Callithrix jacchus: one gene and its partner. The protein of the gene in region 1 interacts with the protein of each later gene in a pairwise test. Links are inferred from orthologs where the notes say so. Each region holds a gene or a part of one and is shown in the gene's direction. Other genes may lie near its edges.

Region 1 (3,916 bases):
CTTTTTGAGACAGAGTCTTGCTCTGTCACTCAGGCTGGAGTGCAGTGGTACAATCTCGTCGCACTGCAGCCTCCACCTCCTAGGTTCAATCAGTTCTCCTGCCTCAGCCTCCCGAGTAGCTGGGAATACAGGTGCCTGCCACCATGCCCGACTAAGTTTTGTATTTTTAGTAGAGACAGGGTTTCACTATATTAGCCAGACTGGTCTCAAACTCCTGACCTCGAGTGATCCCCCTGCCTCAGCCTCCCAAACTGCTGGGATTACAGGCATGAGTCACTACACTCAGCCAGAAATGTATTTACTATGTACAGATTCATACTTTGCAGACATCTTATTTCATCCACACCACCATGACCTTCAAAGGTAGGTCAATACTATATCATCATTTCCTTCTTTTGTTTTGTTTTGAGACAGGGTCTTACCCTGTCTCCCAGGCTGGTATGCAGTGGTACAGTGACAGCTCACTGAAGCCTCCACCTCCCAGGGCTCAGGTGATCCTCCCAGCTCAGCCCCCTGAGTAGCTGGTACTGCAGGCATGCACTACCATACGCAGCTAATTTTTGTATTTTTTGTAGTGATGAAGTCTCGCTATGTTTTTTTCTCAGGCTGGTCTTGAACTCCTGAGCTCAAGTAGCCTGCCTGCCTCAGCCTCCCAAAGTGCTGGGTTTACAATGAGCCACCGTGCCCAGCCCCATTTCCGTTTTATAAATGAGAAATTATATAACTTGCCTCGGGTTACAAGCTAGTCCATGGCAGAGCTGGATGGAATTCCATCCTAATTCTCTCTGATTCTAAAACTTACAAAATGGTGATGTGGCTCCTTCCTGGATCTGGAAGCCTGCAGTCTCGCTGATGTCACACTTGTTATATTTTAAATAAACTGAGACTTACTCATCAGCATGTAGACCTGTCTCCCATGCTATTACAGTCTAGTAATTTTGGTAATAATACCAAGGAAAATTAAGATATGTTTTGCCAGTTTCTCTTGGAGGACAGCCAGAATTCACTCGTTAATAACAAAAAAGAGGTCCAGGTCTTAAGCGCCTCTGTCATCTTTCAGATCTTTACCTCCCTCTCTTCTCTTTTTTTCTAGTTAGCTGCTATCACCAAATTAAGGGCAAAAGGCCAGATCCTTACAAAAACAAACCCAAATGGCATTAAGAAGAAGCAAAAGGACCCTCAGGCCGTCCTGGAGGTGAAGGAACGTGTAGAAAAGAACGCCATGTTTTCTTCTCCAGGTACTGCAGTTTCACAGTTAACAGTGGAAAACAGAAACTGTTTCTAAGGGAAATACGTTCTAAACCCAAACCAGCACCCAGATATCAAGCAGTTACTTCAATTTCCTCCTATAAAGAATACCTAAATAGAATTTCTATGGGTGGAACTGATTTTTTTTATAATCACTTTAAATTGGAATGAAATTAGACATAATTCGAATACTTGGGAATAGGATCTTTGTACATATATTAATGTAAAGGTTTGCTTTGACAGGACTCAAATTCCTTTGTTTTAAATTGCCCTGTCTTTATTTTTAAAACTCCGAAGTAGGCAATATCATGTTAACATCATTGTCAACATATTTAACATTGCTATTATCTATTATGATAGTCAGCTGCCTATTTGAAGGTGAAAAAGAGATTCTAATTTAGTGGCCAAATCTGCCACCACCCACATTCTATGTTCAGCTTCTTGGCTCACCTCTGAGCCCTTCCTCTGCTGGGGCCAGCTGGGGTAGGTCGCGTTTGAAGGGCTGGTAGGCAGAGGAAGGGGGAGTGGAAGGGAGTGGAGTCGACGAGGCACGCTGGCTTTCTGCAATTTCTTGGTCACTGCTGATGCTTGTTCCTTCTGCTCTAGCTGAGGTTGAATTAGAACCTGCCAGGAAAAAAAGGAGAGAACAACTTGCCTACCTGGAATCTGAGGAATTTCAGAAAATCCTCAAAGCAAAATCAAAACACACAGGCATCCTGAAACAGGTAAGATCCCAAAAGCTCAAGGATGGTGTTGATGTCCGGTGTCCTTCAAAGCCAAGGTGCCAGCTGTAGGACCAGAATCTGCTGTTTGTTTTGTTTTGAGACAGAGTCTCAGTACAGTGGTGCAGTCTTGGCTCACTGCAACTTCCACCACCTAGGTTCAAGCGATTCTTCTGCCTCAGCCTCCCCAGTAGCTAGAATTACAGGCATCCGCCACCATACCAAGCAAATGTTTGTATTTTTAGTAGAGGCAGAGTTTCCCCATGTTGGCCAAGCTGGTCTCTAACCCCAGACCTCAAGTGATCCTCCCGCCTTGGCCTCCCAAAGTCCTGGGATTACAGGCATGAGCTACCATGCCCAGCCAAGAATCTGCTTTTTACATAATTCTAGAAGTAGGTATGTGTCCGTTTGTTTGAGTTTGCTTTGAAGAACAGGATAATTTCGAATAGATTTTAGCCTTGGCTTTGACCCTTTACTGAAGAATATCATTTGACTTAACATGACTTAAATAGATATCAGTATTATAAAAATGTTTGCACTTGGTTATGGCTGTGAAGTGATGTTTAAATGGTTCTAAACTGTTGCTGTTTTCTGCCTTGCAATATGCAAAGAGAGTCTTCCCATCCAGGATTTTATATCTGCATATCAGATGCTCCAAAGCCGGGCTTAACTCATGCTGGAGGCTCTTTTTAGTAACAGGTGTTTGTATTGCTTTCTTATCTTGAAATAAAATTCATGGATAATATGAATTACCTATACTAGTCATTTTGAAAAATTAATATCCTAATGCAAAGAAGAAAAAGTAAAGATATTTAAGATAAAGGTAGAGATTGCATTATGGATTTGTAAATGCATAGGCAGAACTAGCTGAGGGGAGATAAAGTGGTGAGAGGCTTGGATTTATTAGTATAAATGAGCCAGAAATGGAGACTCAGAAATGTTTCTTTGATAATGTGGGGATTTTTGTCAGGGATGGGAGGAGTGTTCAGACAGGGTCTCTGTATGTTCCCCAAACTGGTCTTGAATCCTGGGCTCAAGCAATTCTCATACCTCAGCCTCCTGAGTAGCTAGGAATAGATAATGTACTTTTCAGGGGGTGGGGGTGTTTTTTTGAGACAAGGTCTGGTTTATCTATGTTGCCCAGGTTGGAGAGGAGAGAGAGATAGAGTGTGTGTGTATATGTGTTTTAAGTAAACAATCCCGAGAAACCACAGTACCATTGTCCCTCAGTATACACGGGAATCTACTTTTACTCTTACAATAGCCAACACGTGTTAAAAGCATGCACAAATATTGTAGAGTTGTGTAGAAAGCAGTTAGGTTCTAGGGTTTTAATCAGGTTCCCCACTCACACATTTGTCTCAGAGCACACAGAAGCCAGGCAGGATGAGAAGCAGTCCTTAGTTGTGTCGGTGACTGTCCCATGTATTGCAGACAGTTCAGCACCCCTGGTCGCTGCCAACCGCAGAGGTAGCAATCATTATGATAACACAAAGTGCTCCCACCAATTTAAAAAATAATCGCCATTCTGTATCACTACTCCAGATGATCTGCTCTTCCTTTGATTAACAAATAACTAACAAAACAGCTCTGCATGGTATCGTTTCACTGAACTTGAAACTCAGGAGAGATGCCAGCAGTGCCTCTGCAGCTGCAGAGCTGAGCTCGTTGCTTCTGTGGCACCCGAGGCCCAGGGCCCTCCTGCCTGTGGAGCAGCGCTAACCCCATCGCTGCACGCACATTCTGCCACAAGCATCTCTGCCCTCAGGGCTGTTCCCTGACATTCCGTGTACCAAGGAAACTCGCCAGTGGGGGCCCGGAGTCCCTTGTGTTATGGAGCCTATATTAGAACAGTAGAAATAACTGCCCTTGGGCACACACTTGGTGTAATGATGCTGTCGTATTAGGAGTGCTTATTTGTATTTGGTGTTTTAAAAATTACCAAA
Region 2 (3,916 bases), on another chromosome or scaffold:
CACTCACCCAGGACCTACCTGTCGGTCATCCAGACCTCACTCACGCAGGACCTACCTGTCGGTCATCCAGACCTCACTCACCCAGGACCTACCTGTCGGTCATCCAGACCTCACTCACCCAGGACCTACCTGTCGGTCATCCAGACCTCACTCACCCAGGACCTGTCGGTCATCCAGACCTCACTCACCCAGGTCCTACCTGTCGGTCATCCAGACCTCACTCACCCAGGACCTACCTGTCGGTCATCCAGACCTCACTCACCCAGGTCCTGTCGGTCATCCAGACCTCACTCACCCAGGACCTGTCGGTCATCCAAACCTCACTCACCATGCAGGTCCTGTCGGTCATCCAGATCTCACTCACCCAGGACCTGTCGGTCATCCAAACCTCACTCACCATGCAGGTCCTGTCGGTCATCCAGATCTCACTCACCCAGGACAGACGCACCTGGCTAAGCCCCATGGGCGAGCACTGCTGAGCTGTCCTCCACCTGGCTCAGCACTGGGGCCTCCTGGCACCTGCCTTCACTTCCCCTCTGTGGTAGGAGCACGTCACAGGGTGCTCTTGGGGCACCTGCTGGCCTCAGGACCTCAGTTCCCACACCGACTCACAGGGCTTATGATTTTGTTTCCATCCCAGCCATCTCCCAGGTCCCACTCAGCTCCACCCGGGAAGAACACAGGCCTGCAGGCAGCGCTCCTGGAGACGCTCGTGAACTTAGTGGACAGGAGCTGGGGTGACCGCAGGTCTCTGCACAGCAACGAGGCATTCCTTGGTGAGTCAGGGTGGCTGCCAGCTCTTGCCCTCCAGGCGACATCTGTGTGGGATCCTGGGTCCTCTGCATGTGGTGACCTGGGAGTCATCTTAGCCCTTCCCATGTGCATGTGGTGGTCCTGCACCAGGGCCTTCCTGGCAATCTGCCTCTCACAGTCGCCATGCCTCTTGGCACCACGTGGGCCTGGGCCTGTGGGTCCCCCATGTGCTCTGGGTGTTGGGGTTCCTGTCACCTTGTTTTGCTCAAAATGCTGTCCAGATGCATTTGGTTCTGATGGTGGTGTTCATGTGTAGCCTGTGCTGGGCCTGCCTTGCTGAGCTTCTGCTTGGCATGGGGCCCAGGAGGGCAGTCCCTCTGCAGACAGGACTCAGGTCTGTTTGATTCTTCCAGGTGACCTGTGTGGGAGCATGCTGGGGTCTCCCTCATCTGGGGTCACACTTGGAGACCAGGAGGCGCCATGTCCCCGGTGGCACCTTCTCTTTTTCCTACAGCCTGGGGTGTGGCTGTACGTATCCGTCAGGAGCCTGACCTCACTAGCCTATTCCTCCCGGCAGACCTTGGGTGTGGCTCTGAGCTGTCTGAGCGCCCCTCGAAGTGTTGTGGCCCCTCAGCTCCTAGAATGAGGACGCCCTGCAGTTTCAGCCCACCTGGACCTCAGCCCCGTAGACCCTTCCCCTCTCCCTCGGCTGGTGTCCATGCAGCCCATCCAGACCCCAGACCCCAGTCCTCACCTCTCCCTGGGCTAGTGTCCTGCAGGGGCCTCCTGAGCTTGCTGTGGTCAGTGGCAGTGGCACTGTCCCTGGCTCTGTCACAGTGTGGAGTTGCCGGCTGTCTTCTGTGTGGTAGTTTCCACAGCAGGGCGGTCGGTGCTTGTGGAAGGCATAGCGAGTTGCGGTGGCGCCATTGAAACCTTGAGACGTGGCGTCCCGTCACAGCCTTTTTTTGGGGTCGCCTCTTCTCTTTCTTCAGTTCCTACCCTGCCTATGTGGACGTGCAGAGCCTGAGGTGGTTTTCTGGCGCCCCCTCCCTGCCTGCCGTCTTTTTAAGGCATCCTCTGTGTGATTCAGGACACACTGAGCCGGTTTTATGTTCACCCTCCAAGCCTCAGTGCTGACGTAGGATTTGATTTTCACTCCTAGCTCAGGCAAGACGCATTTTGTCCTCTGTTGAAGAACTCACAGTAGCCCAGGATGGCTCCGCGATGGTGGGTGAAGATGTCGGCTCCCCGGCTCTGGAGAGCAAATCCCTGCAAAGTCGCCTTGCGGAGCAGCGGCAGCAGCACGCCCTGGAGATGAGCGAGGTGACGGCGGAGCTGCACCGCACACGCAAGGAGCTGGTGAGCCCGCCCTGGCGGTGCTTCTGCGCCCACGTGACTGGGGGAGATGGGCTTTGACTTCCAGGAGTGAGGGCTGCTCCTTGACGCCCCACTGCCCCAGCCGCCGTCTCTGCAGCACCTCATCTCCCCTCCCTGCCCAGGACCCGGCCGCCCCCAGGATCACTGCCGGCCCTGTTTCACAGCAGGCCAGAGCACCTTGGGGGCAGCAGCAGTGCTGGCCACCTTCCTTCCTTGGAGGGGCTGGGCCGGGGAGGTGGGCAGGGGTAACGCCAGCGGGAGACGGTCTTTAGGCCCCTGTCCTCTGGCCCAGGCTCCCCAGTCCCCTGCTGAGAGGCTCCAGTGCTTCAGGCCATCACAGGCTCCCTGCTGCTACCCTGCCTGTGCCAAGCTGAGCAGCCCCCTCCCCCGGGCCCAAGGGAGCCGCACGGTGCTGGGTGCTGCGGGAGCCAGGCCTGGACCTGACTTTATCTTGTTGGCCCGCCTTACAGGGCCTTGAATTGGAGACACCTGAGCCCACTCTCCTTTTACGAAGGAGATGACGGCCAGTGTCCCACAGGGAGGTGGGGCTACAGGGCAAGTTACCCCAAAACCAGCAACTGAAAACCCACCTTTATCAGCTTGGATTTATGTGGATCAGGCCTCAGGCTCAGCTCAGTTAGGTGTGTCCGTCTCCGTCTCCGTCTCCGTCTCCACTGAGGCCTCATGGGCAGGATCCTCCCAGGCTCCCTCCAGGCTGCACGGGCCTCCTTATGGGCTGCTGGAGTCCTTAGGACATGGAGGTGGTGGTCAGAGAGCCACGCCCAGACAGAAGCCACCCTCCAGGAGTCCTGGTGAAGGCAGGGCCCCACGAGTGAAGGCACTGTGGGACAGCTGAGAAAACCACCTCTGAACTTGTCTGACAGGTAGATGCTGTCTATTTTATGAGAACCTACATCTCAGAGAGCCCACACAATGCTTCCTCTTTAGAGAAGAAAAAGGACAGTTGGCGAAACAGCACAGGCAGCCTCTGTATTTAAACACACATGGCCCATGCCCCGTCCCGTCCAGAAGCCTCTGTTTAAACACACGTGGCCTCCACATCTAAAAGTCTCCCTTTAAACCTATGTGGCCTTCATTTGGAAGCCTCTGCATTTAAACACATGGCTCCCTGTACAGAACCCTGCATTGAAAAACATGTGACCCCCTACCCCCCATTTGGAAGCCTCTGCTTTTAAACACACGTGGCCCTGTCTGGAAAGTGAGCTGGGTGCCATCACTGCTGATGCATCCAGGCACACCCCCTGCCCTTCTGTGCCTGGGACCACACAGAGCTGACAGACGGAGCCCGAGGGTGAGCTGAGCACCAGGGCCGCCTGGGGTGGGAGTCACATACAGCTGTGGCCACCATGGCAGCCTGCTTTTTAACCCTGTGCTGTTTGTTCAACCCTGTCCCTCGGAGCAACCCTGGGCCACGGGACAGAGCAGCCTTGGTTCCCTGGTGAGTGATCTGGAAGTCACTAAGGGCAGGAACCCTGAAGAGAGAGCAGGCGGCAGTCGGGTGGACGCCGCCTTCCAGGGAGGTGCATCTGTCATTCCAGAAGCACCCAAGTTTACTCTGTAACACGGGGATGCTCATTCCTCAGTCATGTGAACTGTGCTTCCTGTGGAAGCTGCAGTGGTGTGTCCTAGGGTACAGTTGACCCCACTCCCAGCTGCCGTGTTGGGCACAGCCTCTGAGGCATATGTGCTGTGCCCAGCCTGGGCGCAGCTGGTCATCCGTTCCCCGCACCTGCCCTGGCCTCAGCTTCAAAATTAAAAATCAGTC

What was found.
Region 2: the proteins of MCM10 (region 1) and CEP72 interact in a two-hybrid assay, tested with the Homo sapiens proteins (2 studies listed by BioGRID and IntAct). The two-hybrid records come from large-scale screens. The link is inferred for Callithrix jacchus from reciprocal best matches to the Homo sapiens genes MCM10 and CEP72.

The regions. Positions count from the first base shown.
Region 1 is NC_133508.1:14,259,681-14,263,596, forward strand, and holds part of MCM10 (protein MCM10 homolog), read left to right. Parts: intron 1-1,093; coding exon 1,094-1,238; intron 1,239-1,503; exon of another isoform or gene 1,504-1,854; coding exon 1,855-1,973; intron 1,974-3,916. UniProt on the Homo sapiens protein: Acts as a replication initiation factor that brings together the MCM2-7 helicase and the DNA polymerase alpha/primase complex in order to initiate DNA replication. Additionally, plays a role in preventing DNA damage during replication.
Region 2 is NC_133503.1:205,413,692-205,417,607, reverse strand, and holds part of CEP72 (centrosomal protein of 72 kDa), read left to right. Parts: intron 1-640; coding exon 641-776; intron 777-1,915; coding exon 1,916-2,112; intron 2,113-3,916. UniProt on the Homo sapiens protein: Involved in the recruitment of key centrosomal proteins to the centrosome.